Linked DNA regions of Caenorhabditis elegans. The protein of the gene in region 2 interacts with the protein of the main gene of each other region in a pairwise test. Each region holds a gene or a part of one and is shown on either strand. Other genes may lie near its edges.

What was found.
Region 1: the proteins of chc-1 (region 2) and rme-4 interact in a two-hybrid assay, tested with the Caenorhabditis elegans proteins (one study listed by BioGRID).
Region 3: the proteins of chc-1 (region 2) and ajm-1 interact in a two-hybrid assay, tested with the Caenorhabditis elegans proteins (one study listed by BioGRID).

Annotation. Positions count from the first base shown.
Region 1 is NC_003284.9:10,370,448-10,381,863, forward strand, and holds rme-4 (UDENN domain-containing protein), read right to left. Parts: upstream 7,323-11,416; 5' UTR 7,164-7,322; coding exon 7,144-7,163; intron 7,096-7,143; coding exon 6,937-7,095; intron 6,874-6,936; coding exon 6,757-6,873; intron 6,317-6,756; coding exon 6,148-6,316; intron 6,105-6,147; coding exon 5,875-6,104; intron 5,454-5,874; coding exon 5,351-5,453; intron 5,306-5,350; coding exon 4,970-5,305; intron 4,919-4,969; coding exon 4,823-4,918; intron 4,569-4,822; coding exon 4,515-4,568; intron 4,468-4,514; coding exon 4,339-4,467; intron 4,297-4,338; coding exon 4,124-4,296; intron 3,561-4,123; coding exon 3,155-3,560; 3' UTR 2,785-3,154; downstream 1-2,784. Other genes in the region: Y49A10A.2 (uncharacterized protein), read right to left, coding at 777-800, 850-963, 1,249-1,560, 1,609-1,710, 1,759-1,905; dyf-6 (Intraflagellar transport protein 46 homolog), read right to left, coding at 9,487-9,702, 9,749-9,865, 9,915-10,106, 10,162-10,316, 10,797-10,934, 10,980-11,069.
Region 2 is NC_003281.10:10,198,608-10,210,958, forward strand, and holds chc-1 (putative clathrin heavy chain 1), read left to right. Parts: upstream 1-5,213; 5' UTR 5,214-5,264; coding exon 5,265-5,387; intron 5,388-5,434; coding exon 5,435-5,555; intron 5,556-5,606; coding exon 5,607-5,971; intron 5,972-6,017; coding exon 6,018-6,197; intron 6,198-6,305; coding exon 6,306-7,166; intron 7,167-7,210; coding exon 7,211-7,513; intron 7,514-7,560; coding exon 7,561-8,715; intron 8,716-8,761; coding exon 8,762-9,983; intron 9,984-10,035; coding exon 10,036-10,614; intron 10,615-10,662; coding exon 10,663-10,799; 3' UTR 10,800-11,097; downstream 11,098-12,351. Other genes in the region: T20G5.8 (ShKT domain-containing protein), read left to right, coding at 752-842, 891-982; dbd-11 (DB domain-containing protein), read right to left, coding at 1,287-1,601, 2,150-2,452, 2,624-2,719; dbd-12 (DB domain-containing protein), read left to right, coding at 3,016-3,255, 3,344-3,439, 3,496-3,588, 3,635-3,753, 3,819-3,921; T20G5.9 (Partner of Y14 and mago), read left to right, coding at 11,241-11,319, 11,377-11,446, 11,970-12,103, 12,163-12,351. UniProt on the Caenorhabditis elegans protein: Clathrin is the major protein of the polyhedral coat of coated pits and vesicles. May play a role in yolk protein clatherin-mediated endocytosis by oocytes during oogenesis.
Region 3 is NC_003284.9:9,079,812-9,088,896, reverse strand, and holds the start of ajm-1 (Apical junction molecule ajm-1), read right to left. Parts: upstream 5,915-9,085; coding exon 5,813-5,914; intron 4,995-5,812; coding exon 4,836-4,994; intron 3,629-4,835; exon of another isoform or gene 3,426-3,628; intron 3,210-3,425; exon of another isoform or gene 3,068-3,209; intron 2,865-3,067; exon of another isoform or gene 2,674-2,864; intron 2,612-2,673; exon of another isoform or gene 2,464-2,611; intron 1,319-2,463; coding exon 1,209-1,318; intron 273-1,208; coding exon 188-272; intron 1-187.

The DNA.
Region 1 (11,416 bases), on a different chromosome or scaffold from region 2:
GGAAAAGATCACACAAATTCACAACATTTTGTTTTCCAAAAAAATGCGTTAGTTGATTTAGCCGAACTAGCCGATCGGCGAATTCGGCTAACATCGGCCAAAATCGGCTAACGGATAACTACGTATTAGCCGAATTGCCAAAAAGTCGGCTAGCGGCTAATTCGGCTAATCGGTAAAAAGGTCGGCTAACGGATAATTCGGCTAATGTTAGTTGGGCGCGCTGTACGTATTTGGATTTTGTCATCAATCTGTTAATTCTTAAGCTTTTTTGTAAATTGAATTCAATTAATAAGTCAATTTCATATTATCAGTTTATTCAACACAAATTAAAATAAATTCAAAGAAATAAAGAAAATGTTGGGAACATTTGAAAAATTTTGCAACACGCCAAGCCATTGAAGAGGACAAAGAAAAATTTAGAGAAAAAATTTGGATCGTAGCTATTTTAATAGAATTTAGAAAATGTTCATATTTTTCCAGGGTGCTCAAAGTGACAGAACACTATCGTACAAAAAGCTCGAGTTGAACGAAATCGAAAATACCCAGATGTTGGGAAACATTTAGAGAATTTTGAATTTCTTGCTCCGGTGAAGTACTTAATTTTTGAGAAAAAAAATTATGAATACAGTATATATATATGTATATATTTGTGAAGTTTTAAAAAAAATGATTTAAAAAAAGGAGAAATAGAAAACATAGTTGAATTGATTCAATGGCATTTTCAGGTTTGATACATTAAATTAGATAGGGGCAACGAAATGAAAAACAAAGGGTGCTTATTTTCCGCCGAGAAAGCCACTCTGAAATAGATAATTTTTTTGATAAACTTTAAAAAATTCGATTACTTACAATTTTTGTCACAAATGTGCCCCAGATTGTGGAATTCGGCGTAGTCTTCTGTTTAGGAGGTGGTGGGCTGAACAGAGCGTCGTCTTTATCCTCGGTGAGAAATCTTTTGCGATTCTGAAAAAAAAGATGGAAACAGAGATAGAAATTGTCCTAACGAATATTTTACATTGATGCAACTTGTAACTTGAAACTCATAATCAAGTGAATAAATTATATCTTTAAGAATAGTACTTTTTATAAAATGTTTCGTTTGAAAGCATTTTACATTTTCGATTAAATTTGGTTGGACAGTACCCGTTCTGATAAATATAATAAAATGACTAATTGAGTCATGAAGCCAGGGCGAAGTTTCCAAATTTCAATGATTTTATTAGACATAAAACTAAACTAAACACTAACCATGGGAGCCTTATAGTTTCGGTTCTTCTCATCAGCCATCTTTTGATCCTCGTCATCTTCATATTCTCCATCTCCATTCTTTTCTTCATCTTCCTTCATTCTCTCTTCTTTTTCTTGCTCTTCCTTTTCTAGTTCCTCTTTCGGTTCACCTCTGTGATGATTTCCATTTGTTCCACTTTTTCGAATATCTTCACTATCGTCCAATTCCAATTTTAAGTCGCGAGAGACAATTTTTTGTATTTGATCAGGGGTGTTTTCGACTCCGTTAAACTCGAGCTTTTTGTACGATGGTGCTCTGCCACATTGAGATCCCTGGAAACATATGAACATTTTCTAAATTCTATTAGAATGCACACAAACCCATAGTTTGCCTCCTAATGTTTCCTTAGCCTCTTTAATAGCTTTGGTGTGTTGCTCCGTAGACTTTTTGAATCGATAGTCTCGATGCAAAGCGAAAATCGCCTGAAATAAAGTTTAGAACCTTTGATATTATTTGGATTTATTACTCACACCCTGTGGAACAATACTCGTTCGGCCTTTCGCTTTCCAGGTAAAATATTCTACTCTCCATGAGACGGGATTCCTTCCTCTCTCCATATTCACCAACTTGCATGGCCACGAACCTTTGATCACAATATCACCAGGTTGGAAACTCATCTGAAATTGATTAATGTTTCAATCTTTAAAAAAAATGTTGGGCCATAATAAAATATCAATTAAAATGCAGTGAAACAAGTTGATATTGTCTACTGTCCAAAGCCAAAAACAAGAAAATGCATTCTGATGGTCAAACTAAGAGAAAAAATCAAACTACTCCTATTTCTAAACTATTTGGGTGCTGTGTATCAAGAAAAGTCTTGACAAATAGCAGGAAAAATTGAATATTCAATGGAAAAAACCGCACCTTCTCAGCCGTGTTCTTTCACGTTGGCAAGTGCCTGTGCGGACGGCATGTTCGGTCCGTTTCTGCTTGTGCGTGCGGTGAGATTAGAAAAAGAGATTTAGAGATCGTAGGAAAAAGAGAAATAATATAGAAATCATTGAGTGAGAGAAGCTAGACGGTCGCAAAAGGCAGCAGACGGCAGGGGCCCCAGGAAGGGGAAGAGCGGAGGAGACGAGGACGGCCATCTGTTAATATGCAGGAGAAATAGTGTTATGATGCAGGGTAGTCGTAGATACGTTTGGTTCACTTTTCCAATATATTGTAAATACTGTGAAAATTGTCAAAGCATAATATTTTTTCCATTTAAAATTATGGGATATTTTCCAAAGTCTCAAAAGTTTTATAGCGCCAGTTGGGATAACTTTTTTGAAATCTAAAAAAAACGATTTTATCCTTTCAACTGAATTATTTTTGTCACAAAAGATCTATTTCAAATATTTACCGTATTGACGCTACTCCATTCAAAAATTAAAACAAAAAAAATTAAATGGAAGCTGTCCAGTATATTGTAGTTTTTAAGTACTTTCGATAGATGCTAAAATAAGTGAGTAAATTGAAATAAATTGAAATAATAACATAAACTGAATGAAAAGTCACCCAACATTATTGTTTATTCCAAACCAGAAAAATAAATAAATATATACTTTTGACAAGAAAAAGTTAGAATGCCGGCATTCGATGACAATTTGATTTGACAAGTTCCTTTGGATTTTTGAAAAATATATACTTAAACAAAATGAATAAAATGACTGAATTATCGTTGTGACTTCAGTCTCGCAGGAGTACAAGGAACAAACGATTAAAAAATATGAGAATATGGAAAAACAAAATAATTTGACTAGTGGGAAGGGGGAAAGAAATGGGTTAAATTTATGAAAGTAACCATACGACTCTAGCCATAGAAACTCAAATTTCATACACATAAATAATTTGTTTTTCATTTTGTTATCACATGATTGTATTCTACTCGAAAGTTTCCCATTTGCTCCGAACCGGAGGAGGGGGGACTCGTATTGCTGAACTAGTGGCAAAAGCAGTTGCTGGTTGCCCTGACGATGTGCTCGATGGGCCAACTGATGCAGGTCGTCGGGGAGGTAGCGGCGGAGGAGCATACCAATCGGGTGCAGATGGGTTCATCGCTGATGGTACGCTTCCTACTTGGCTGACTTGTGCCCACTGATGGCTTTGTTGAAAATGGAGTAGGTGAGGTGCTGATGATCCACTTGGAGAGATTGACTGGACCGATGAGCCAGGAATCATGCGAGGATGTAGAGGTGGTGGGGGTCGAGAGGGCAATGGAGGCGCCGAGCCTTCTGGTGACGTCGCAAATGGGTCGGCAAATACGTTTCCTATTGCTCCAGATGGCGACCTGAACATTTGTAAAATAATTAACTGATTTGCGAATAACATAGTAACAGATTTGGTTTTCAAATTACCAGGTTTTGGCAATACATACATGTTTTATATCTTGATCAAGATTACTATACAAAATGTACCAGCATGTACAAGCACCAGCATTTCAAGCACCAGCTTGAAATGAAATTTTTTTTAATTCTTTTTAGTTATGAAACTATTTTTGAAACGGTGTTAGAAAACCAAATCATCAGAAGTTATCAAATGCATTAGACTTCTCATTGGACACACTGCAATTTTTTTGATCCTCGTTATATTTGAACAAAGTATGATTTTTGTTTATAAGGCGACATTACTTTTTATTCTACATATAAGCAATTATGAGATTTCCGAGCGTTTCCAAAATACTTCTACCTAGACAGAAACAGCCAGAAGCTTATAGATTAAAAGTGGATTAAACTCAGGCAGGCGCACAACGAACAGATAATTGTTGGTTGCCAGAAAAATAGAGCGAAAAAGTTCTACAAAGAGCCACAGCGTTATACTTTTTCTGGGTTGATTATTTGATCAAATACTCACTTGCGGTTGTTAGTTGCAAGTTCGGAGGGACGAAGAAAGTACTGTTCATCCACTGATGTAAGCCCAGACGCAGAACTTGTAGAAGGTTCATCCAAATCAATGAGGTTGGCTACTGGAACATTGTCCATCCTTGTTTCCACCGGGAAGCCCTCGTTTTCGTCACTTTTCTGGAACTATTCAAAAATATTAATACATTCTGTTATTTTCTAACAAACCGTTGCATCCCATTGTAGGTTATCAAAAGACATTGGCGACTGCTCAAATCCATTTTGATTGTGTGCTTTTTTTCTTGCCGCTGCTTTTCGTATTTCCCGAGGCGTTAGTTTCTGGAGACGATTTGCAATCTAGAAATTTGAATGTTTCAAATAACTTAAAATGGGTTGAAAAATACTTGTATTCCAGAAGTTTTCAATGCTCCGATGACGTCATTGGCATTCTCCTTGACCTGGAAAATCTTTTCAATTGCATTAAAAATTAGATGCCGAACAAGTTAGAAAATTTTTCAAAAGTCATGCACTTGGTTAAACTGAAAATCAAGTTGCTGAGATACTGTTTGACAACACGAATCTTACTGATTGCACCGTAGTATGCACCATTGGCTCATGATGATTTAGCTGAATGTTGGAATATGTCCGCACACTCGACGAGTTAACGTCATTGCGTTATACAAGCTATGATAACATTTGCTTCATCACTTACCGGCCGGTTTTTCAGATCCATCTGTTCGATTTCAATTTCGAACTGGTCTCCTGGCACGTGTCCGTCTTTGTACAATTCTAATCGGTCGTGGATGAACTAAAATATTTAATTATTGCGACTTATCAATATGCTTGTGCGGAAACTCACTCTTTCTAGGTACTGCACACCATCCGCACCTAATAGTGATGATACGTATGCTTGGTAGGATGGTTTTTGTTGCACCACAAACCGCTCTTTGGAAAAAACCAGAGTTTCAGGCGTATCACCAGTAAATCCACTTGTGTAGTCACCAAACAGCATAACCATAGCTCGTAAGAAGTGCTTTGCAAAAGTGTCATCCATTGCTGACTGCGACCGAAGTTGTGCTTTCAAAAAGTTTACAACTTCTTGAGGCATTGCTGCTACATCATCGAATGGGCTTGTTAACGTCTTCTCGTCAATATCAACAATCACCACTTCGCCGATGTCTCTTATATTCAGCCTCTTAAATAAAATACAATATTGGGACATCTATTCGAATTCACAAACCGCATTTTCCAAAACAGTTTTTGGAACGCCTATCAAGTATGGCATTGGTGCCATTACCATGTCGACGAGAGACTCGGGAAGAATTGTGATAAAAACTGATTGCCTGAAATATACATTGAAGTACATTTTAGAAAATTTAATAGCTTTTCAATAAGCGTCCTCATCATTGAGTTCAGAATTTTTGTTCCTAAAACTATGATTAAATACAGTCGCAAGACCAAATGTTTCGTGATGTTAATGTTGAATTCAAATTTTTCACCAAGTACTTTCAAGATTGTTTAAGAGAAACTTGAATTCTATGTATATGCATCACTAAATAATATAACAAGTTATCTTATACTGTATACCCTTTTACATTGCTTTTGATTTTTATTTCTTAACCACGATTTCTTATTACGTGGTATTACGTACTTTGTTTTAGTTTCTTAGTTATCTCAGAACTGCTATCACAGAACTGCGATTGCAATGCCTCTTGCTACCAATATTTATGTAAACATTTTTGTTAGAAATTTTATATTACTCACCAACACATTGGGTAGAGAAGCATCGAGACCGCATGGAGACATGAACTCAACGATCCAACTTTCCGCCCAGTAAACAGAATACGACGTTCTTTCAGTAGACTTGCAAAGATTGCTAACATCTGCCGAGGGTCGATGGCGTTGTAGAACTCGAGGAAAAACTTATCCGAGCCAAGAGTTGGTAATCGCGTGTGATCGGGAATTTTTTCAGCAAACACTACTCGATAGTTGTGCTGAGAAAATATTGCACATTTAGATATAAACTAAGGTTCTTACTCCATCTGTTTGATTACTATCAGCAAATCGTAAATATTCGTCAATATTTGGAATATCTGTGTGATAGAATTTGGTGAGCACTGATTCAACATCTTCCCTTTGCGCTGAACCTATCACCAAAGAAATATCGTTAAGAGCTTTGAAGAAGACATTTGGCCAGAAGAATCCACTGTAAAATATTCATATTTTTAAAGAGACATTTTTCTGACTACTTCTCTACTCTTTTCTACCGCCTTTTTTTAAAGCATATTTTAGTTCCAAGCAAACGGTTTTGTATTTTTTTTTAAGTTCTTGTGATAATAATGTTCACCATCACAAATCGTTTTCTTTTTTAAAATATTGCAATCATATTCGTCATCCTATCCTACGCGTTTAACATTCTTTTCATTTTTTCGCATCACACAACAACAACAACAGTTAAAAGTCACAAGAAAAAACGAACTCTGTTTTGTTCTTTTTTTCGTTAACGTTTTTGCAAGAGTTTATTTAAAAGGAATAGAAAAGAAAACGAAATATGATACTTCTCCTCTGCTCTTCAGGACTCATTTTCCCATGACAAAACCAAACGACGGCTATTTGTCAAAAGTAATGATGGAAAATCACTCTCACCTCAAGAAGCAGATGCACGTGTCGGTTCTTGGTGTATAACGGCAAAATCCAAACGAGAATTTGGAGTTCGAATCGGTTAGAACAAAACTGAATAATTGCACTGCGTCGACTTCTACTCTGAAATATTATAAAAACATTTTAATTCCATACCAATTTAGTTTTTTTTTAACAATTACGTACTCTCGTAGTTGACATGGAAATGCAAACTGTTGAACACTTTTCACAATAGCTGGATCGTGGAAATCGTCGGGATACTGGAGTCTTAAAATAGCAAGCTTTTCGCCAGGTTTCGGGGCATCAAGTTCGCAGAAGACGTCGTACAGGGTGGCCACGTCAGCTCTGAAAATATATTCTAAAAATGGATTGAACATTTCACAACAATCTCACCTGTATCTTCCATAGGTCATATGTGAAAAATTAAAGCCAATTGGGAGATGGAACCAACGGCAGAGAAGAGATCTAGAGATCGAAGACAATTGTTAAATTGAATTGAAGGTTAGCTTCAGCCACCCAACTGGGAACAAACGGACTGAAAACTGCTGGGCGGCGACAGCAGGAAACACTTGCAATATTACAATAAAAAGAACGGAAAACGAAAACTGCGTTAAAAGAAGACTGCTGGCGCGTTTCTCTTTGTGAATTCAGCTGACACGCGACTGAACGACAAAAAGAGGAGGGCGAGGAGAGACTACAGCAATAGAAGAGAAGGAAAAGAAACATGGAAAAAATGAAGAGCGAACAAGGCGTGAGAATGAATGGGATAAAATTAGTGACATAAATTTAGAAATAGAGGATGGAGTAAAGAAGAAAAATGGGTGCTGCCACCAAAAGCATCACATAAGAATCAAGAAATGTTACTATTCAGACTACTGGGTAACAATACCAAGAAAAAAAGAAACATGTGTCTTTTTTTTTAGTATCGCGCAGTCCTGTGACGGATGAGGAAAATAGAGCTGTCAAATGGAATGAGAAATGGGCTGTTGAAAAGGAGAAAACAGAATACTGAATTTCGTTGTGTTTTTCAGAATTTGATAACATACAGAGTTTAACTGTAGGCTACTTTGTGTATTTTAAATTACATATTTTTAGGGGTTTCAAGTTAAAAAGCGGATTTGTAGATTTTTGTTTTTTTGTTTTTTTGTTCGTTTTGTTCAAATTTTTGATCAAATTTTCGTTAGTTTTGAATATTATATCAAACTGCTAAACTTGGAAACATTGAAGTTCAAAAAAAATGGGAACATAAAATTTATTGGTTAAAGAAACAAATACTTTTGACTCAATAAAAGTATTTTCTTAAATAAATTCCGCTACCTATCTATTTTAAAACAATAAGGCTTTCAAACATGTTTTGCTTGCTTTTCTCATTGTTGATATTTTCTATGTTAACGTTACATAAATTTGACGGTCCTAATGAGCAATCTTTTTTTCATAAATGCCAGAAAACTTAACTTCCAAAAGCCGAACTCTATCTGCAAAAACTGAACAGTTTGTTGTCATCTAATGTTTTTTTTCTGGAAGAAAAAGAGTCTAGTCACTGATAGGAATGAAAAGACGCAGAGAATGTGCATGCACAGTTTGTAGAGGGATAAGACTGCAATCTATTTCTGACATTGCAAGCGAGAGAACGTTGTGCTCATATAATAAGAGAGAAATAGCCCATCTAAGCGATTTGTACGAGAAAAAAGTGAAGAAGTTTAAGAAACATGGACATATGATTTTGAATGTCTATGCAAAAAACGACTTATCAAGTCAAATTTATTGTAAAATTTACTTTTCAAATTAAAAGAAAAATAACCTAGAAAACTACAAAAATGCGAATTAAAAAAGTTCACTTCAAATCGGGACGAGTTTATGTAGTGCGTATTTCCCGCCGTCAGGTGGGGACACTGTGCAATGAAAAGAGGAGGAAAGATAGACGAAATGAATAAACACAGTGACGAATCGATAAATGCTACGAGAGTCTGAATGGTCTTGTTACGACAATAGAACGCCTTGCTCACCCTTTCCTTCTTCAAATGACATCTATAGTACCTGCTGAGAAGACTTACCACCGGCTTGTGTTCCACGTTCTGTTTGTTACTCACAATTGCTAAGCAACATGATGCTTTGTCTTGGAAATGGGACCGTGAGAGCTGTCCCTGGAAACCAGAAATTCAGGAGTAGTAGTGGAAAGTTGAATAGTTTTTTTTAGTGTGGGGTACGAAATACAAAATACAATTTCAAGTTTCCAAAAATTCAAAAATAAGAGAATACTGGTTAAAATGTATAAGTCCCAAACTACAATTTCACTACAAACCGAATAATTAGATTTTCGTGCAATGAATAAACACAAAAATTGTGGTGATATTTCCTTGTTAAAAACAAAATTAATTTGAAAATGTTTCTTCATATGAGTAAGACAAAAATTGGTGTAAAGATAACAGTAAAAACTCACCAAGGATAATTCTCTCCAATTAATGTGCAATGAAAAATAAAACTTTTTGATTGTTAAAAAAGAAATAAAAATGTTTATTCGGTCAAATAAATTAAAGTAAAATAGAAGGTGAATCAATTAATGAAGTTCAAAAGGAGAAAGCATTTTGCCAATAATTTAAGAAATTATTTATATGACACAAATAGGTTGTTCAGAAAGTGTGTCTGCAGAGGGAAAAGTTATAAAATGTGTGATTAAGAGAATGTCAGAAACGTCTGCTTATCAAAAAGTTATGGAAATGTCAATAAATTTTGATGTTAAAGTTCCAATCTGTCCATTGTTTCTCCGGTTTCTCCTCCGAGATTGTTGTTTTGTGCGAGATTGCGAAAATGCTGTGAGTTATTAAATTCATTGAGCAGCGAAAACATCAAATGGAGAGCTTCAATGCGACTTTTCCCCACAGGAATGTCGACGATATTAAGACAAATTTCCACATACTTTTCCAATGAAACATCCAGTTCGGCCGATGGTATCTGTCGGATTCAACGTTTTACGTTACAACAAAGCATTGAGACAAACCTTTGTCGTTTTCAAAACTTCTTCAAGTTTTTGTGGCCATTCTTGCATCAATGTTTCTACATCTGGCAGTTGAGTTCTGTAGTGAACTGTTTGGGCAGGCTTGCTTTTATGAAATTCCTAGAAATTAACATTTTTTAAAAGATGTCTTGACACTTTTAAAACAAACTTTAATATCAGAAATCCATTTCTTTATTTCATCTGGATTCTCATCAGCTCTTTCTAAAAGCTTCACTGGAACATCGTCATCGAGAATTGCCGCATCTTTAGTAGCATTTCGAATCTGCATATCGACAATTGTGGCGTCGCTCTGGTTGCTGGGTGGCTCGTCAATCTGCGTGAGCCCCACATTATCGTCAATCTAAAATTCTTGGTTATATAAACATGTTTGCGTGAGCTATGAATTCCGGACATACCTCGTCTGGCCTTGGCACTTTGATGAATAGGTCGACATCGCCCATTGCTGGGATGTATTCGATAGTGAATGGGCGTAATTGCGGGCGCAACTCTACTTCTTGTGTTTTATACGCGTCGATATAAGTCAGAATCGCAATTTCGTCTTCGGTGTAGTCTGAAAGCAGACTTCAGATAGAATACAATTATTGGTCAAAAATGATAAATCTATAAGTATTTTCCCGAAGAAACGGATTCAAATGTTGTTTGATTGCTTTTTTTGAGATTAAAAAGTTTCCACAAACATGATACAATGCGTCGCGAAATATATACAAAATATGTTCTTTTTTAAATGTTATCTTATTATGCTTCACTTGTTAAATTGAGAAAGTCGTGTACACTCAAAAGTATCTTCTTGAAATGTTTTGAAAACTACTCACTATCAGAAAATAAAATGTATGTTAGTTTAAACTAAAGAATACGATAAAAAAAGTTATTTTTCGGATAAATTTCTTGAAAAACAAGTAAAATGAAAATAATTTGTTCCAGAGTATGACCTATGTCTATGTTTTTGTGGATATTAATTAATTATCAGAGGTCTCTGTAGACTTTATGCGAAATATATATGTTGTGGAATGTTTTCCGTGTGTAGCCTTACCGTCATCCTCATCGTCGTCATCATCATCATCGTCGTTGCTGCTGTCGTCCTCCAGGCGGCTTGCTCTGCGAATCAAATTTTGAAGGGGGTCAGATATTTTTCTCATTATCAATTCGTTCATAGATTCTTGCCTCATATCTGCAATTTTATTTTGAATGTCAAGAAGTGTTGCACGAGACTGACTCGATCCAGCTGAAGCCCTAGGTGGCGGCGTCTTGGGACCTTCATCGGCGCTAGTGTAGGCGGGTGGAGATCCCATTGGTGGTGGCTGCACTAAAAGCATAAACAGTGAAAAATTGATTATAAGTAAAATACAATGAACTTTCTTTTTATAGCTTTTTTTAAATTCAGGTTTTCATAGAGCATATTAGGTCATTGAGTATGTTATAAAGATACGCGATTTTGTAAGAATTTATAATGCAATTATGTGATACTTTAAACCCGCCGAAAGTTTTTTCAAAAACACTAATTTAACAATTTTCTAATATATTCACAGTCGTTTTCCAATTTTTGTTACTATTCAATTCCAATGCCTGTATGATTTTTCAAATGAATTACATACAAGTTTAGTTTTAGGAAAAAACCAGCAATTAGAATATTTGAATATTAAAGAAACATGC
Region 2 (12,351 bases):
TGAAAAAATTTGAGTGCTTTGCTTTCGTACTGAGGGTGACAATTTTTACCTTTTTCATTTAACCCGAATTTTAATATTAACAGCAGAGCGAAATTTTAGGCCTTAAAATTTTTCGTGATGAATGACATAATTTCGGTCTCTTTCAGTATGCTGGTGAACATCAGGAAAATGTGTGTAGAAGGTAGAGGCTTCTGGTTTAAGAAACTAAGAAACTGCAATTCATAATTCTGTTGAATCTGGTCTTCTCTCTAGGTTCAGCTTTCAAAAAACAATAGCGTTCGATTCAAACAGGTTGTAGAAATTAGGAATTATTTTGTGCTGGTTCTTTTTAGAAATAATGGAAACGGGCAAACCTTTTTGGCGGTAATTTTTAGTTGGAAAAGCCGAAACCTGAAGAATTAGAGACATTATCCAGTAATTCGCGTGATTTTAAAATTGAAAATTCACAGTTTTGCATTTTTGAACAAGTTGAAATTTCACATACTGTTTTTGAGGAACGTTTTTAATTTATAATATGCAAGATATCCTAATTTAATTAAACAAATCACGATGTGTCATTAAAAATCACAAAACAGATGTATCAACGATCAGCATCTACCTCATTTGTAAAAAAAGGAAATCGGTGGCACCTGTTTGACTCGTTACAGGTGAGCAAATAGTTAGGAATTAGCTAATAGGCGTATCTTTTCTCAAAAATTTGTATAAAAGAGAGGGCTGTGGGGGTTTTAGATACTATCAAAAGTCAATCATCATGTTCTCTCTTAAGACCATCGCCATCTACTTCCTCGTCATTTTGTCTGTTTTTGTTGTTCATACTTCAGCTACATGTGCTGATGATGAAGGTTAGTTACGAGCATTATTTACTTCTTCTGAAGCCTTTGTATTTTCAGATGGTCACTGCGCCGTCTTCGCTGAACTTTGCGACAATGCTGACTTCGCCGACTACACATCCAAATGTGCCAAGACATGCGGAAAGTGCTAAAGCCTAATCGAAACTGCTCTCCTTTTGTAATTATTGGTAGCTCCCTTTGACGGTTGAAGCACCATTCTTTTCCCCACTTCTCGTTTTTAGTCACCGTCATTCTGCTAGTTTAATTTAACTTTCAAGAAATTAATTCTTCATTTAGGACTGGTCATCCTAAATTTGAATTTTTATAGTTTCTGAAAGCTACTTCTCATTTTCATTGTCGTCGTCATCTTTATCTGTGTGTCTGTCTTGTCGCCTCAATTTGTCAAATAACAATTTCATCTCAAATTGTTTTATTTACTTTGGAAAGCCTAAAAAATCAATGCAGAGAAAGAGCATAATCAAATTTATCAGAACCTGGGAATTTCTTCTGTGCTCGTCGTTTTATTTCAGAGTAGAAACACTGTTTCATTCCCTCAAATACTTCATAGCAAGGCAGATATGATGCATCAATTGGGGTGAATCGATTCGGTCGTTGATCACAGAATGAAAGACATTTTCTTCCGGCTACAGTAGTTGTGATTCCAGATGTCTCACAGCATTCTCGATGATCGAGTCCTTGCGCAGCACAATAATGTATTTCGTTGATGGCTTCGATGGGGCATTTGTGAACTTTATTGAACATTGCCTCTATCTAGAAAAGCAATTGATTGAAATCAGGGAAAAAGGTACGTGTTTAGTATACCTGGCTCAAAAATATTCACCATTTTGAAACTTTTACTTGAACCTTTTTAGTCTTAAAAAAATAAATAAAAAATCAAAAGCCTAAAAATGCAAAACATTCAAAATTTCGATTAAAATATCATTTTTAAAAGAAATGAATGGATAGCATATTGGAAAATATTTTTGGGTCAGGTATGCTTAATACAAAATTTCCAAAAAAAATGATTGAGAGCTGTTTATTTGTAAATCTATAATATAAAAGTTCCACAGAAAACAGCCGTGTGCGGCATATTTCAAAATTTGCCGAGCTCGGCAAATTCGGCAAATCCACTTTTTGAAAATTGCCGAGTTCGGCAAACGGCAAATTTGGCAAATTTACCGCACACCTCTTACAGAAACTCCAATTTTTAGATAGCAAATTGTATACTTGATATTATTTCATGCGGTGAAACCTTTTAGACTATTAACAAAATTCCAGAATACTGTAACTTCCCGATAAACTTAAATTGTTTGACCTACCGTTGTGAATGTATAAGTATTAAAATGACACAGCTGCAGACAGGAATCTGGAAGACCTCGAGCTTCACAGCACGATCGGAAAATAAAATTGGGATTTGTTAATCTGTCAACACTTAAATGTTGGGATGTCTTCTCCGGTCGTAACGCGACACTTGCTTCTGCCAACTCAGCCTGTTCATGTGTCTCATCGTTTACCAAGACTCCGTCAATTCGTTTAGTTAGTGAGCCAAACGCTTTTCTTCGAGCACAACCGTATTGTCCGCAGGCATATCCTTGTTGGCATTGATTTCCTCCACAAGATACCTGTGGAAAATTAGAGTCAGAAAATGAATTCGAATGAATTTTTTAACAGTCACAAATGCTTTGATAGTCAAATCACTTCGATAGCAGTGACAAATTTTCTTTCTACAAATGACTTATGAAAGTTATACGGGCATTAAAATTCAATTTCAAGTTAACTATGTTTTTACTTACCGGTGGAGGAGTCCGCCGTTTACAGCAACCACCTGATTGACTGCAACAATGCATTAGACCTATGCAAAACGATAAAATAAGGAGTAGAAGCTGCATGGTAGAGCTATCAAAAATTAGCAAAACTTCTTCAGAACTTGGGTTTTTATATCAATTATTAAGTTGACGCAACTGGTATTTTGAGTACCTATACCTAGCCGCAATTACATATTGTTAATTGGTAGTCACTCAAGAGAACTCAAGAGGATTTGAGAATATTCGAGAGGTAACTGGAATAAGTGGTCATCTACTTGGGCTTTGGCTAATTATAATTATAGTCAAGTGTAATTATCAATGAATATAAAATCTGAGAGTTTCAAGTAACATTTCCATAGTTTCATATCTCCTCTACCATCATGATCCGAATCTTCTTTGTTCTTCTCGCTACTCTCCTCATTCTCACCGATGCATGTGGATCTAGTGGTGCATGTGGTTGCTGTGGTTGCCGAGCAAAAGCAAAGGCGAGAGCTGCAAAACGAGTTAGTGGAGATTTGGTTCAAGAGTTTGATGGAAAGGATGATGGAAATATTTTTGGACTCAAAGTCTGGAATGATACGAAAACTCCAATCACTGAAAAGAGCATTCAGTTGTTGACAGTAAGTTTGTTTCTGTACATTTGGTAGATCATGGGGATTTTACTGTAAAAAAGTCAAACTTTTAAATATATTTCATATCAATTTTCAGAATCCTAACCACTTGTTCCATGTATGCTGTGAGGAACGACAGTTGCCTCCCGCATGTGTTCAGAAATGCCATTTTAATGTTTATAACAAAGGAGTGGTAGGTTTAAATAGGTCAAGTTTATATTGTGAAATTGAATTTCAAAAATTGTATAGCTGGAATCAATGTTCTTTGGTTCAAGTGAATGCCCGATTGAATTCCTGCCAGAAATGCAATTTTGTGCGGCTCAAGGAAAAGATCATAGCCAGGTAAAAGGTCGTTGAAATCTGCTCAATAACTTCTTACTAGTTTCAGTGTTGCTCACAAAGTCAGGTGGATGCAACGACGGCTGGAAGTAAATGTCTAACCTTCTGCGATCAAACACCCGATCTCTACACTCCAATTGATTACAGCTATGCGCCTTGCCTAGACAGGTTTCCATATCTTTTTATCTTCCAATTCTCGAGGCAAAAGTCATGTTGAATTAAATTGGTTGCAGGTTCGAGGACATGAAACGATGCTTCTATGATAATGTGAAGTCGGATGCAATCACACATTTCGAGGCGAAAAAGAGTTTGCAGGATAAGAGTACATCTTATTAATTGTTTTTGATTTTATATTTACTTAACTTGAGATTTCGAAATAAAATGTGCGATTTCGCAATACCCATCACGACATACTTTGTATTTCATTTTCCATTAAAGCGGAACTATTACACATTTGCGAATTTCTGTGGCAATTGCATAAAAAAACCGGTACCGGGTCTCGACACGAAAGATTCTCTTAAATGCAAAAAGTGTGATCTTCGGTCCGTGGAGTACTGTAACTTCCAGCAGGGCTAATACAAGAGAATTTGAACAGAAAACAATACATAACATTTTTATTCAAAAATGCCAAAAAATTATAATACAATTCAATTTTGAAAACAGTTTTTCGTTGTATTTTGGACCAAAAAAATCGGTTTTTTTTTGCGCAACGTTGTTGGATTCTCAACGTGTTTTATCTCAGTTTTTCCTTGAATTTCGGTAAAACAGAACAAAAAATGAAATGTTCAAAAAAAGTGTTCCAAACTACAGTACTCCTTAAAGGCGCGCACACTTTTAAATCAAAGAAAATTGGTCGTGTCGAGACCCCGTACTGTATTTTTTGTGTAAAACTCGAAAAATTTCCGTGTATGAGTGATCTACTGATTGAAATTGAGAAAACAAAGTTTATCCGCAGATCAAATTTGTTTTTTTTTTCTTTTCAATATTTCACGGCAATCATTTCTTAATCCAAACACGTAATTCACTGTCGTAATTGCTGATGACTCATTCATTTCATACGAACGCTTTTCTTTTGTCAATCCTTCGGCCGTACAAACATAAATTTTTCCTTGTGAAATTAAAAACTCCGCCCAAAGCGAAGAAAATTCCCAGAAGAAATTCGGCGGAAAAGCGCGCTCTACCGAGAAGCGGGGCGCGTCGCGTCGCGTGCCCTGTGATGACAGGGCGACTTGTTCAAGCTTGGCAAACAGGAATCATTTCTCTCGATCAACTGGCTTCTGCATGTTTGACAAAGCTCTCTCTTGATAAGACATTTCCGTTCAATTGTTTTATTTTTACGTTTTCCCTCTTTTTAGGTGCGCTATGAGTCCTCAAAAATTTTTCTTTACTCAGCAAAGAGTTCTAACTTTTGGAATTACAATTTTTCCTTCATTTCAAATCATTCACAGTAATAACAGCGGCCAAAGCTAGCTTTAAAGCTGTATATTTTTCCATTTATTCCTTCAATCTACCGATATTCACTTCTATTTCCCGGAAATGTCTCACTTTTGTGATAAATTTTACGTGACTCATCTTTTTATTTTTATCGTGTTCTCTTTTCTTTTTTTTTCAAACATCTCCATTTGCAGGTATATAATTTATTGTAAGAAGTTTTTCCATTCTACACACAGTTTTCAAAGATGGCGCTCCCAATCAAATTTCACGAGCACCTGCAGCTTCCGAATGCTGGAATTCGGGTGCCCAACATTACATTCTCCAATGTCACAATGGAATCTGATAAGAACATTGTTGTTCGTGAGATGGTAGGTCAAATAATCGCAATTAACTGTTCTAAACGGATAATTTCCAGATTGGTGATCAACAACAGGTTGTGATTATTGATTTGGCCGACACAGCGAATCCAACTCGTCGTCCAATTTCTGCTGACTCAGTAATCATGCACCCAACTGCCAAAATTCTTGCTTTGAAATGTTAGTTTTCAGTACCATTTGACTCTGAAGCTTATTTATACCTTTTTTCAGCTGGCAAGACACTTCAAATTTTCAATATTGAGTTGAAAGCAAAAGTGAAAGCTCATCAGAATGTAGAAGATGTAGTTTATTGGAAGTGGATCAGTGAGAAAACGATTGCACTCGTTTCCGACACAGCCGTCTATCATTGGTCGATCGAGGGTGATGCAGCTCCAGTCAAGATGTTCGATAGACATCAGTCGTTGGCCGGAACTCAAATCATAAATTATCGCGCTGATGCCGAAAACAAGTGGCTCGTTCTTATTGGAATTTCCGCAAAAGACTCCCGTGTCGTTGGAAGTATGCAATTGTACAGTACCGAGAGAAAAGTATCGCAGCCAATCGAAGGCCATGCCGCTTGCTTCGTTCGATTCAAGGTAGGACTAATTCGATGATGGATTTGTCATATTAATAATGTTTTAGGTCGATGGAAACCAAAACCCATCTAACTTATTCTGTTTTTCCGTCAAAACCGATAATGGAGGAAAATTGCACGTTATTGAAGTAGGAACCCCAGCTGCTGGAAACACTCCTTTCCAAAAGAAGAATGTTGATGTTCCATATACCGCTGACACAGCTGGCGATTTTCCAGTGTCTATGCAGGTATGTTGCTTATAGTCGTATAAACAAAATTTGATATCTTTCTGATTGATTGTTTATAATTTCAAAAGCTGAATGGTGTTGTTTATAAAATAAATTGTTGGTTTTCAGGTATCTGCGAAGCAAGGAATTATTTACCTGGTAACAAAGCAAGGATATGTTCATCTTTATGATGTCGAGTCTGGAACACGGATTTATTCGAATCGAATTTCGACTGATACCGTATTTGTGACCTGTGAATACACAGCTACAGGAGGAATAATGGGAATTAACAGAAAGGGACAAGTTCTTTCCGTCTCTATCGATGAAGCTAACTTGGTTCCGTTCGTTACGAACCAGCTGCAAAATCCAGATTTGGCTTTGAAGTTGGCCGTGCGTTGTGATCTGCCTGGAGCTGAAGAGTTGTTCGTTCGCAAATTCAACTTGTTGTTCAGCAACGGACAGTTTGGAGAATCAGCCAAGGTTGCTGCATCGGCTCCACAAGGAATTTTGAGAACACCAGCCACCATTCAAAAGTTCCAGCAGTGCCCGTCTACTGGTCCAGGACCATCTCCACTTCTTCAATATTTCGGAATTCTTCTCGATCAAGGAAAGTTGAATAAATACGAAACACTCGAGCTGTGTCGTCCGGTCTTGGCACAAGGAAGAAAGGAGTTGATAACGAAGTGGCTCAATGATCAGAAGTTGGAGTGTTGTGAAGAATTGGGAGATCTCATTAAGCCGCACGATGTGAATACTGCTCTTTCAGTCTATTTGCGTGGAAATGTCCCGCACAAGGTTGTTCAATCTTTTGCTGAAACTGGACAATTCGACAAGATCGTAATGTATGCCAAGCGTGTCGGATTCCAACCAGACTATTTGTTCCAACTTCGTCAAATTCTCCGTAATTCGAATCCTGATCATGGAGCAAAATTCGCTCAACTTCTTGTCTCTGAGAGCGAAAACGGAGAACCACTTGCTGATCTTTCACAGGTAACGAATGAGAATAAGGATTTGGCTAATTTAAACCTTTTCAGATCATTGACTGTTTCATGGAGGTTCAAGCTGTTCAACCATGCACTTCATTCCTTCTCGAAGTTTTGAAGGGTGATAAGCCGGAGGAAGGACATCTGCAAACGAGACTTCTTGAAATGAATCTGCTCGCTGCCCCAGCTGTTGCCGATGCTATTCTAGCCAACAAGATGTTCTCTCACTACGATCGTGCCGCTATCGGACAACTCTGCGAAAAGGCTGGACTTCTTCAAAGAGCTCTCGAACACTTCACTGACCTCTACGACATTAAGCGAACTGTTGTTCACACCCATCTTCTCAAGCCTGATGTGAGTTTCTAATTAGATTTCTAAAATAAATGCTAATTTATTTTCAGTGGCTCGTTGGATATTTCGGAAGCCTTTCTGTTGAAGATTCGGTCGAATGCTTGAAAGCCATGCTCACTCAGAATATCCGACAGAACCTCCAAGTCGTTGTGCAGATTGCATCCAAGTATCATGAACAGCTCGGAGCTGACAAGCTGATTGAGATGTTCGAAAATCACAAGTCATACGAAGGTCTTTTCTACTTCCTTGGTTCGATTGTCAACTTCAGCCAGGACCCAGAAGTTCACTTCAAGTACATTCAAGCTGCCACGCGCACAGGGCAAATTAAAGAGGTTGAGCGTATCTGTAGAGAGTCGCAATGTTATGATGCCGAACGTGTCAAGAATTTCCTTAAGGAAGCCAAGCTCAACGATCAACTTCCTTTGATCATTGTCTGCGATCGTCATAACATGGTTCATGATCTTGTTCTTTACCTGTACAGAAACCAGCTCCAGAAGTACATTGAAGTCTTTGTTCAAAAGGTTAATGCCGCCCGTCTTCCGATCGTTGTTGGTGCTCTTCTAGATGTTGATTGTAGTGAAGATGCTATCAAACAATTGATCATTAACACTCGTGGAAAGTTTGACATTGATGAGCTTGTCGAGGAAGTTGAGAAACGCAATCGTTTGAAGCTTTTGAATCACTGGCTTGAATCGAAAATCCAGGAGGGAGCGACTGATGCTGCTACCCACAATGCGATGGCCAAGATTTACATAGATTCTAACAACAATCCCGAACGATTCTTGAAGGAAAATCCCTACTACGATAGCAAAGTTGTTGGAAAGTACTGCGAAAAGCGTGATCCTCACTACGCCTTCTTGTCATACGAACGCGGACAGTGCGACGCTGAATTGATCAACGTGTGCAACGAGAATTCACTATTCAAGAATCTTGCAAGATATTTGGTGAAGAGAAGAGACTTCACTCTGTGGGAGCAAGTTCTCAACGAAGAGAATGTTCATCGTAGACAGCTGATAGATCAAGTGGTTCAAACTGCTCTTTCCGAAACTCAAGATCCCGAAGACATCTCTGTGACTGTTAAGGCATTCATGGCTGCCGATTTGCCGAACGAACTTATTGAACTTTTGGAAAAGATTGTTCTCGATAACTCTGCATTCTCGGAGCACCGTAATCTTCAAAATCTGCTCATTTTGACTGCAATGAGAGTAAGTTAATTATTTTAGAAAACATATTCGATCAATCCACTTTCAGGCCGATAGAACTCGTGTGATGGAGTACATTCAAAAGCTTGACAACTATGATGCTCCAGATATTGCTAACATTGCTATAACTTCTGAACTCTACGAAGAAGCGTTTGCCATTTTCAAGAAATTCGATGTGAACTCAAGTGCCATCAATGTTCTTATCGAGAACGTGAACAATTTGGATCGTGCTTACGAATTTGCTGAAAAGTGCAACCAGTCAGATGTCTGGGCATCTTTAGCCAAGGCACAGCTCCAACAAAATTTGGTGAAGGAGGCTGTCGATTCGTTTATCAAGGCCGATGATCCAGGAGCGTACATGGAGGTTGTGAACAAATGTTCTCAAACGGAGCACTGGGAAGATCTTGTTCGTTACCTTCAAATGGCTCGCAAGAAGAGTCGTGAGTCATACATCGAAACGGAACTCGTTTTTGCTCTGGCCAAGACTGGTCGTCTCACTGAACTTGAAGAGTTTATCGCTGGACCAAATCACGCTCAAATCGGACAAATTGGAGATCGTTGCTTTGACAATGGAATGTTCGATTCCGCTAAGATCCTTTTCAACAATGTTTCCAACTTCGCCAAACTTTCCGTTACTCTTGTTCGTCTTGGAGAATATCAAGGAGCTGTCGATGCTGCACGCAAAGCCAACAGCACGAAGACATGGAAACAAGTGTGCTTCTCTTGTGTCGAGAATGGAGAGTTCCGGCTTGCCCAGATGTGTGGACTTCACATCGTTGTCCACGCTGATGAGCTTGAGGAATTGATCAACTTCTACCAAGATCGTGGACATTTCGAAGAGCTCATTGCTCTTCTCGAAGCTGCATTGGGTCTTGAACGGGCTCACATGGGAATGTTCACCGAACTCGCGATTTTGTACTCGAAGTATAAGCCAGAGAAGATGCGTGAGCATTTGGAATTGTTCTGGAGCCGTGTTAATATTCCAAAAGTTCTTCGTGCTGCCGAGCAGGCTCATCTTTGGTCCGAGTTGGTGTTCTTGTACGATAAATACGAAGAATATGATAACGCCGCACTGACAATGATGCAGCATCCAACTGAATCTTGGAGAGAGCAACATTTCAAGGAAGTCATCGCTAAAGTCGCTAATGTTGAGCTATACTACAAAGCAATGCAGTTCTACCTGGATTATAAGCCACTTCTCCTGAATGACCTTCTTACTGTGCTATCGCCTCGGTTGGATCATTCGCGCACAGTTTTGTTCTTCAATAAGCGTAAGTTTAAATTTCGTTTAGTTTTTAAACTTTTAATAACAATAATTTTCAGTGAAGCAAATCCCACTGGTCAAGCCTTACTTGAGACAAGTTCAAAACTTGAACAACAAGGCTATCAACGAGGCTTTGAATCAGTTGCTCATTGATGAGGAGGATCACGCCGGGCTTCGTTCTTCTATTGAGGCTCAAGACAACTTTGACAATATCACTTTGGCCCAACAACTTGAGAAGCACCCACTTGTGGAATTCAGAAGAATTTCCGCATACTTGTTCAAGGGAAACAACAGATGGAAGCAATCGATCGAGCTTTGCAAAAAAGACAAGCTGTACAAGGATGCCATGGAATACGCTGCAGAATCGAGAAACGGAGAACTCGCCGAAGAGCTCTTGTCATTCTTCCTGGATGAGAAACTTTATGATTGTTTTGCCGCCTCCCTTTACCATTGTTATGATCTCCTTCACCCCGATGTCATCATGGAGCTCGCTTGGAAGCATAAGATTATGGATTACGCCATGCCTTACATGATCCAAGTTATGAGAGATTATCAGACGAGACTTGAGAAGTTGGAGCGTTCTGAGCATGAGAGGAAAGAGGAGAAGGCTGAGCAGCAACAAAACAATGGAATGACCAGTGAGTTTTAACAAATATTTAGAATTTAAATTTATTTGATATTTTCAGTGGAACCACAACTTATGCTTACCTATGGTGCCCCTGCCCCACAAATGACTTATCCAGGAACAACTGGTGGCTATGGCGGACAGCCTGCTTACGGTCAACCTGGACAACCAGGATATAATGCCCCTGGATTTATGTAATTCGATAGTTTTATCCCCATTTTCTTACCCCCACCCCCTCACTTTCTCCCCGCATCAATAATTATATTGTAATTTATTGCTTGATGTCTATACACTTTTTTTGTTTAAATTATGATATTCTATTTCTATTTATTCCGTCCCCTATGAAATTGTGATGGTTGTATTCTAATCCGTGAACTTATCCTTAAGGTTGTTGGTCCGATGTGTCGTCTCTCTCAGTTCTGCCCGTTTTCAAAAAAAAGTTGATCACAACTCTTTTAAACCACCAGAACCATCATGAATAAATTAATTCGTTGTTACCAATCGCGTTCGAGTTTCGGATGAAATACTGGTTCAGTCCATCATCATAACATTTTAGTTTTACGATTTTAACTTTTTGTATTATTCACTAGCTGAATTTTTTAAATTGAGATCTAGAATAAGCCATTTTCAGGCCGTATAATGTCTACTAAGCCCGCCGCCGCGAAGACGAAGCCATCGTGTAGTGAAGGTGGTGATCTACGTGTTGAGACTGAAAATGGTTCGTAGATTAAAAAATTCCACCGCGAAGTTTTGTATAAATTTAATTATTTTGAAGGTGAAACATTCATCACAGCAACACAAAGAGCCGACGGAACTTGGAGAAAAGCGAGACGAGTGAAAGGAGGGTCAGTAATCTGGCGATACTGGGAATATAATACCGCTTGTCGATTTACGAAGAATTTTGTACTAGACGTGACAGAAATTTCGATTTTTCGGCTGTTTTTGCTGATTTTTAGGCGAAATTTTGAAAGAAATATCGTAGTTTTTCCGGGGAATTTCATAATTTTCTCACAAAAAGTTGTATATTTTACCGTTGTGTTGTTCGTTAAATTATTCCTAATTTAATTATTTTGAATTAAAAAGATTGTACAATTGAAGCCAAATCTGTAAAACAATGCGAAATTGCCACTTGTCCACGTGTAGTACAAGATTTCTCGTAAATCGACATGCATAAATCCGCGTCGCAACTTTCAAGATCTTTTCTCCGCTTTTTTAGTTGTATTTCATAGAAATCTTAACAAAGATCAAAAAAAATTAATTTTCGGGGAAAAAAGGACACTGTAAAAAAATTAATTTTTCTCGCGGCGAGACCCAAAATCTGTGCGCCTTTAAGTACGCCTTTCAAGTACATAAAAATACAAATTTCAGATATATTCCTCAAGATGAACAACCAAAATATCAAAATAAAATGCAGCTGGAAGCGACAAACGGCCGAAGTTCTGTTCCAGCAGGAGTGAATCCACGTGCAATGGCTTCTGGTTCATCCCGTAAGCCTGTCAGTGGTGAGTCTTAAATATAATAAATTATACATATTTGTATAATATTTTCTCCATTTTTTCAGCCATCAAAGCTAACGTATGCATCACACCACAGGATCATTTCCAAAAGAAAATCGATTTGACGAAAAAGAAGATTGAGGATATTGAAGGAATGGAATCGAGAATCGCTAGCGGGGAGCTTGTTCCTCAACCGAATCAAGTGAAGAAGATCGCACGAAAGCAGGAGTATTTGGATGAAATTGAAAAGTTGA
Region 3 (9,085 bases), on a different chromosome or scaffold from region 2:
TACACCTAACAATCCTCCTTCCGCCTATTTGCTTGCCAATTAGAGATTTGGTTTACCATGACCCGCCTGATAGTGGAGGAAAAGTGACGGATTATATGACTCATTTTTATCGTATCTCAGGGTCATCTCGAGGACATTCCCGACAATTATCATGATGAAAAGAGAAACAAAAGAAGAGTATTCATACCTCGTTAATAGTGTGAAGAAAGTTTGGCAGGACGCTCATGTTTGATTGAATCAAGGATGGCAATGGAATGAGTCCGGATGTGGTTCTGCAATAAATTGTTTTGAGAAACGAGAACTTCTCGAATTTCATAGTTTCTTTTATTCCAATACATAGTACAATTTTTTAATATATTTCGAGTCAAAAAGAAAATAAAACTTTCGTTGGTAACGTGAGACATTTGCCTCTGGCACACCTCGTTGGATAATCCACGTTTAAAACTGCGCAGCTGCTTCTCTTATTTTCTAAAATTTCCCAGACGACTTCTGATTTAGATCCGAATTATATATTCAATTTTTTGAAGCTGGTTTGCTTAAAGTTTCTGGTTACATTTTTCTTGAAAAAACGTGAAGTGCAATTTTATTTAACAGAATTTTGGAAATGTCGAAACAAATTTAACCGTTGAAATTTTTTCAGATTAGTATTATTATTACTAGGAAACCTTGATTAGTTGTATTGTATTGTGAGAAAAATAAATGTAAAATGTTTAGCATTGTATCTAATTTATTAAAATTCCAGAAAATTTCGAGGTATTTCAGTAAAAGTATTTTTATATCGAGAATGGGTAAAAGCTTTTCATAATCAAAAGCTTTTCAAAATTTATGATAGTATTATAACCACTTTTTCTTCTGAGAAATGGTTCAACTTTTTTCGCGTTGATGCCAAAAACAATTGAGTCAGCTAACAATTCATTTTTTGGAACGGTAATATTTGTTCAAATCTTAAAAAATTAGGTTTCAGTTTATATTATTTTTCAGTTGAATTACACATTTTGTAGTCGTTTGTATAATTTCAAAACGTTTTCTGTTATTCATACAGTAAAAGTATGTACACTGTGCATTTTTGTTACATATCTCCACATAATCATTTTTTAATAACGATTGGGCCATGGGTAGGAGAGTTAACTTTAGAGTAGATTTTCAGAAAAAAAAATTCATTTTCATTTGTTAATTTTTTTTCTATTTTCAGACTAGAAAAGACTTACGGTTCGTCATCTGAGCATGATGACAAAATTTCGTCAGTTTGAAGCAGCGACATTACGGACGGCATTCCTTGTGCCGGTTTTTTCTCTGACATGGTTGGTTCCCCTTGTCTCTGAAAAGAAAAATACTTTCGGTTATATTGTTTGAGAATCAAAAATGCTATGCATAGAGACAAAAGGATTGGGAAACGAACAGCAATGTGATGTGATTTTTTTTGTTCTAAATATTCAAAGAAGAAATGTTTCAAAAGAAACAATAATTCTTTTTTTTCATTGTACTAAGCATTCAGTAGTACAAGAAACCGTAAAATTGCTTCTTGTTAAGCGGATAAATTTGTCAATTCAATAAGTTATACCAACAATGTCAACAAAACTTTTCGTTCCGACAATTGTTTTATAACCGTTCAGCGATACAATCTGGGTCGTCGTAACATAACAGGTATCACTTTTTGCGGTTACAAAACGGAGAAACCATAAGATCTAGGAAAAAGCGGTGTAAGTAGTAAATTGAATGAAGCAACTGGAATATGAAAAGTAAAGCTTAATTTTAAAAGATCTAGAGATTGGATTCTAGAGGAAAACACAGCTTTAGAGATATTTTTTCCAACACTTCTTGTGAAATTTTTTTTCAAAGTTGAATTAATTCAAACTCAAATGCATTTTCTACTTTGTGATACATTTAATTTGAAACCGAAATTTTTTTGAAAGGTCATATATCTTCTTAGAATTCTGTAATTTTAAATTTGTTCTACTCAATTTCTTGAACTAAAAAACTGTTTCTGTCAATTTTGCTTACAGTAGATTTATTGACGCAAAAGTAACCACTCTTATTTGACTATTCATTTTTTTTCGAGTACATCAGAAGATATTCTACAGTTATGATGCATAAACGACATAATGCAGGTTTTGTCAGTGACAGTTTTTTTATACGGTTTGATAAAGTTTTGAGAAAAGTATTTGCAACGTTTATGAGTCTTAATTTTTTTTTTTTCAAATTTTCCTATTTTTATTGTGTATTTTTTACATCTCCGAGAGAGCGTAATAAATTAAAAAGTTTTAAAAATATTGTTTCAATAAAAAAAAACAATTTTGATTCTAATCAAAATGCCAAAACATTTGATTGACAATGGAACATACTATAACAATTCTCAATAAAACAGTTTCTTCAATTTGGAACACCTAATATAAATAAAACCATGAACTAAAAACTAAAACTAGAATACTTTGTTTTTAAATAGACAAAAAAGAAAGCGGCTACATGAAATGGTCAAAAGTATCATCTAAAAAGCGGGAAGTGGAATGAAAGAGAAGATAATACTGGAAAAAAAACATTGTGCAAACAATCAAATAGATGTCGAGACCGAGATTTGCACAAACGGGGGAAAAGAGCTCACCGCTCTACCTATCCAATTTTTTATTTATTTTTCAACCTTAGATATTGGTTTTGATTTTGGTTTTTATTCCACTTTTTATCTAATAGTAAGTGTTAACCTTCAATTCTTTCGCTCTATACAGAACCTCATAAATCAGAAGGTGTGATGGTGATGGCATTGAAAATTGTATAAGGAGAAACACAAACGAAATGAAATCTGCGTAAGATCATAGTTGTAGGCTCTACAATTTGATTGACAGGCGGTTTGGATTAATCTACCTTTTCGGAGTGAACGGAACGTTGTACACTGAACGGATATGATGACTAATTGGTAGTGACGGTACAATGATTTGATGACAAATGACCAGAAAATGAAGAAATCCCGAGACATAAAGAAAAAACAAAAAGTGCGAAAGATTGGTGACTTGAAGAGGAATAGAGATGGATGCAAAAGTCAAAAAATCAAACATATTGTATTATATGAACACAACGATGTACAGAGAAAAAAGAAAAAGGGGCAAAAAGGCAGAAGAGCTGGCGGGGTTGTTTTGTGTGAATCATCTGAATAAACAGGGCTTTTTATATGCGTTAGCTGGTACGTATATGCATATTTGTGTGTATTGACAAGGTGGCTGAGGTTGGTGCATCTCCTTTTTGTATACCGTGCAGTGCACGGCAGTATCTTTTTACTCGACTTTTCCCAGTTGGCATCGTTTGAGAAAATTTTCCGCAACTTAGTTTCACTAAGGAAAATTATGTAAAAGTAAAATTCACTTTCACTATTGAGTTGTCGGCTTACACTTCGGTTCTCCTTGGGTTTATCAAAGAAAAAAATTATGTTGAATTTAATATTTCTTAGTTGACTATTTTGACTATTTTATTTTTTTTTGATAAAAACAAAAATTACCCAAGTACTGCCAAGGTGGAGCAAGAGGGTACAAGTGTTTTTTTTTTCAAATTTAAAACACGAATAATCCCTACAATAATCAATTCACTACAAATATAAGTAAAAATTAAAAAGTTCAAGTTCGTTAAACCTACTAAGTATACTAAGTAATTACAATCGAGACATTTGCAGATTTTTAGTTGAACAAATAAATTCTAAACTGTATAAAACTCGTGAATATAGAAAAGTAAAAGTATAACACAAATTCAACATATACACCACAAATACCACATAAGAAGCCAGGTAGTAGCACATTAAAAAACACGACAGAGGTTAGTGGCCAAGACGATTTGGAGGAAGGGCAAACGTCTGTGACCCTCTCTGTTTTCTGCCCCTCTTGACATCTCCAACGGAACAATTGAACAGTTTTAATAAGGTTGCTAGAGTCTGGTGGAATGAATGAGTCGAGATTTGATGAGTTGAGTTAGATGGTTCAGAATTGGTAATTTGAAGAAAATTGGCCAAGTGGAATTGGGAAAAGATGCGAATTAAGAACTGAATACTAAGGTAGGTAACGTAAATTAAACTAAAAATAAGCAAATTTCTAGTCAGTGACTCATAATCAAGACATGGTTATTAGATAAATTTCAGGAAAGAAATAATAATTTTGACACTTTTATAATTAAATTTTTGATTTATTGCTTCACGTACAATTTTGAATAACACATGTGTTGTGAGTAAATTAATTGTGAATTTTTGCTCAAAAGTTGTATAATTTTACAATGTATACATTCTATTCCGTTACCACTATTATTAAAATTATCTTCATTCAATATCATCTGGAACTGTTCGAATGTGGGGTATCCCTAGCATATTAATATGATCAAGACATTTACACTATCCGAAAATAGCCAACAAACATATCAAAAATGTATATAATTTTTAAATCACACACAAAATCAAAACAAAGTAACATTTACTTAGTTTCAATAAATCATTTGGAAGTCAACCAAAAAATACATGTCCTGTCAGTTTTACACATTAAGGAGATTCATATTATTTTTATATATACATTGTTGTGTTCAAATCTCCAGTAATGCCCAAAATAATTGAGAAATTATTTGAAAGCAAGACATTTTTTCAAAAATAATTCTTATTCTCCCGAAAATAATTCTTCCGAAGAACATGAAAACTTAAAATGTGTGTAATTACGATATTTAATCGTGTTTGACAATTATTCATATGTGAATGAAAACAAAATTCCGCTTTCAAGACGTTAAATGTTAAAACTCAGTTTTTAACCTATACGGCAAAAGTATAAAAAATTGATAATGTCTTGTGAAAAGAAAAAACAATCAAGAAAAGGTCTCACCTGTATAAATACACCCTCTTCTACAATTTCGGTGTCGGAGCTGGTATCGGATGAGGAAGACGACGCCTCCTCAACCTGAATATCCGGATTTGCCGCCGTGGTGGTAAGTCGTTTCCGGGCCGTGGCGAACACAATTATACGTAGAGAGAGGACAAACGCCTGAATTCAGAAAGCAAATTAATTGGTGAATTGTTGTAAGAAGGTGTGTGGGAATTGAAATGGAATGGTGAAGGCGTCAAGAATTCAAATTTTCTCTAATGAATGGATAGTGTATCTACTGGACTAGTTTTCCTCTTTCCTCTCAGTTTTCAGATCGCCAAAAGGGCAAAAAGTTATCGGAACGAAGGCCCTTATGTAATGAGACGGTTGAAGGGCCACCCGACAACCACAAGACGCAATTAGTATCCGAAATGCAATGATTATTAGAAAAAAGTGGAAGTGTGGTGGTCATGTCTGCAAGCGAATGTACGAGATCCACAATTGCACGCTTTTGCTGCCACCCATACGCGAAACATTTTGAATTTAATAAATTCTGAGAGCGGAAAGCCCGGTGTAAAAAGAAGAATATGCTTGGAAATAACACGGGAAACTGTGAGAAATTTGACACGATTTAAAGAAAAAGATCCGCATTTTTGATACCCTTTTGTTCTTATTATAATTGAGAGAGGGAAGGGTCTCAGGCTGAACGCTTATTTTAAAGAAAACATATGTCAGATTCAATATCATATAGAGGGATGTGATATAAATATAAAGATGGACTGAAAAAAAATCATCGTGAAACTTCAAAAATTTTTTTAATTATTATCCAATATTTACGAATTTTGACAATTTTCGAGAAAGGCGCGAAATCTGAATGAATATCTCTTCTCGAATGAAAATCTCGTTTTGGCCTAACTTTACCTTTAAGTTAAAAAATTTAATAGGAGTATTTTTAATTTAGTATTAACTTGTATTAAAATTATGGCAAAAATACTCACCAAAATAGCAGAAAATGCTGTCTGTAAGATGGCGTTGAAGCCGTCCGGAGGACGACTTTTCTGTGACCTGTTGTTTGACGATTGTAGATTTTCTATGTCCATACAATTCTGAAAAAAAAACCTTTAAAATTTTCATCATTCCTTTTTGGAAAAGCGGATAGAATTTCAATCAAATTGCCTACATATTGCTGAATGTAGAATAATGGGTTTCAACAATAAAAAATGATTCAATAGGAACATGAATTGTTGAACGGAAACTTAGCAATTTAAAAAGGCTTGGTTAGTTTTTTATACAACAATTTGAAATCATTGTTTTGTTGAATAAAAAATTTGAAGAAGGAGACATGTGCGACCACGAGATGTTCCATGATTCAGACTATGATGTATCAACAACTTTATGCATATGTAGTGAAAAAATACGATGATGGGAGAATAACACACACGAAAATGAGCGAAAAACAAAAGAAGGATGTGCTACGGAAGAAGTAAAGAGCTCTCAGGTTTCTATTATGTGCCAATTTCTTTGTACTGTCAAGAAGAGAAGAGAGTGTGGTGTTTGCTCGTGAGTTCTGGCGAACACGAAGACAAGTTGGTAGCGCATAACAATTGCTTGTGCCGCACTAAACCACTTTTGCAAAATCTTTTATCTTCTTTTATCTCTCTAGTGATTTCAATCATACATACGTGCCAGTTTCACACCACAGATTACTGTGCAATAATGGAGTTACATCAAACTTCAAGCTAGTAAAACATTGGGCTTGGTTAGAAAATCAAAATTATTCGTATTTCTTTGTTAAATACAATAAATACTCTTCATATAGAAGTTACATTCTTTTAATAAAATGACAAAGTTAATTACAAAACAAGTTTTGTGATCTACAGAGGTGCGCGGGAATTGGAAAAAAAAAGTATCTCAAATTCTAAAATTTTTGAATTATCTCAAGCAAACGGATGACAAAAAAACTCTACTAAAATACACATGACATTTCAAGCTTAAATTTGTTAGGTTACAAGATTGCCAACAAAATCCGGCAATTCCTGTAATTTTTATTTCCAATGTTTTCAAAATTACCAAATGTCGCGCACCCCTGAAATTGAAATAGTTCCAATTTTGAGTTTAAAAATATTTAAAAAAAAATATTTTAAAAACATCATCTGAAGTTTTCAGTGTTACCAATTCATAACGTGAATAGTTTTTGGCACAGAAACAATTCGAATTTGTTTGAATTTAGATATTATATTATTTTATTAATGATAAAAATATAGTATTCAGAGGTGCAAAAAAACTAATAAAATGTAAAACTAAATTCACAGGAGATGTCGACCAGCAACATGTAATACAACATGATATGTATACAAAACAACAACAAGCAGTAGCAGATTAATAGTTGCATACTTTAGTAACGGTTAATGATGATGTTTTGTGAAAAGATGAGGATAAAAGCTTAGGTTTTTTTTTAAACTCCAGACTTGATTGATGAATTCTAGGTGATTTTGAACAAATTCTGAAAACATATGCTACTCTCCAAATGCAATTGTTGAATTAATCTAGGCAAAATGATGATGGAGAAATTTATAGTGCATTTATTTATTATGAATATAAATATCGAGAGGAATGGAATGAAAGATAGTCGGGAGTGAGAATGAGCGAGAACTCGTAAAATTGTAACGAACTACAGATGCGAAAAGTGATAAGAAATAAAGATGGAAATACAACAGATTATGATAATGTTTGTGCATGATGTTATGTGTTATAATTCGGTTTAAGAATGAAAGTGGTCAGGAATCTAGAGGAACGTTGAAATTTCGAACTACTTTTTTTAAATGAATCTCACTAAACAAAAAATTAAGATTACACGAATATTGAAAACTGTTTAACTTTGCAAACACAATAGAATTTTTTTCAAAACGGATTGCCTCACACTATGATATGACGGATTTTCCGGTCACCGGCACCTGTCAAAGATGATTAATCAATTTGTTTATTGACATTTCTCTCCTCGTTCACCGATAGTCTGATTATAGGGAAAAGGACGAAAAAGGCGATGATAGGATGACGGGCGAAAAGCTTTAGATATAAATATTTATTTGTTAAATGGATTAGATCACTTCCGAATGATGATTTCATTCAGGACGTTTGAAATAATATTGTCTAATATTGGTGGCTAAATTAAGGCAAAATATTAAATAAGTCAATATTACCGAGATTGGAGAATGATTGCACTACATATTAAATTTTCCAAAAGATATCTATTACTACTAATAATAATTTACATCAAACCTCGTAAATTTTTATCGAAAAAAAAATTTAATAGAGAATTTTTTTGAAAGTGGCATTTTTGTAACAGGTACATTTTGAAATAAATATTTTCATAAGGGGTAGACGGCAATTGCCGAAAAAACCGATTGCCACAATTTTTAAAACTCAACATCTGCCGAAACATCCGAAATGCCCAACATTTTAGAATGCCGTCCATCCCGGATTGTGACTCAAAAAAAATCTGTTAAATAGTTGTACTTATTAATTATTCAGCAGTGCTAAAATGAGTTAGTTAAAAATATTTTGATTTTACAATAAAACATAACAACCTCAAAATCAAGTTAAAAAATTTTCATTATTAATGCTAGTGATATGTACCTTTATAATAAGCAAAAAAATCTGCGACAAAAAACCATCCTAATAACAGAAGCTTGCAAACATTTACTATGATTGATTATAGTTATTATGATAAAAAAGTGGAACCGAACGTTGCAAAAGTGACAATGTCTTGTGTGAAAGAATTGAATTCCAATTCTCAAGTCCAACAAAAGAAAATCGGAAAACAGTTGTGAAAACGATGGCGGAATGCCCGATTACTACTCATAACAGTTTGAAAAGTCGCGAATTGGATGAATAGTCACAATGGCCATTGCCAGAACGGACTGTAGAAGTTTAGTAGAAAATGGAAATGAGGTCTATTTTCATCTCATTTTCCAAGAAAGTAACCCTTTTGGAAAGAAAATAAAGAAGGCAGATATGACCCGTAAGACGGAGATTTACGATAAACGAGAGAGGGTCGAATAGAAATTAGTGCAAACCAGAAACATCGGGATAAGGTTTGGCGGTTAGCAAACAAAATGCATGGATAGATTTCAAAGAGATATTTAAAACTTTTCAGTCGACGTATTCTAGGATTTCAAAATCTCCGGAAAATTACCGATGGTTTTTAGACTCAAGTAATATATTTTCAGATACCCTCTATTAGTCTTGCATGCAAGACTAATTTTCAAACG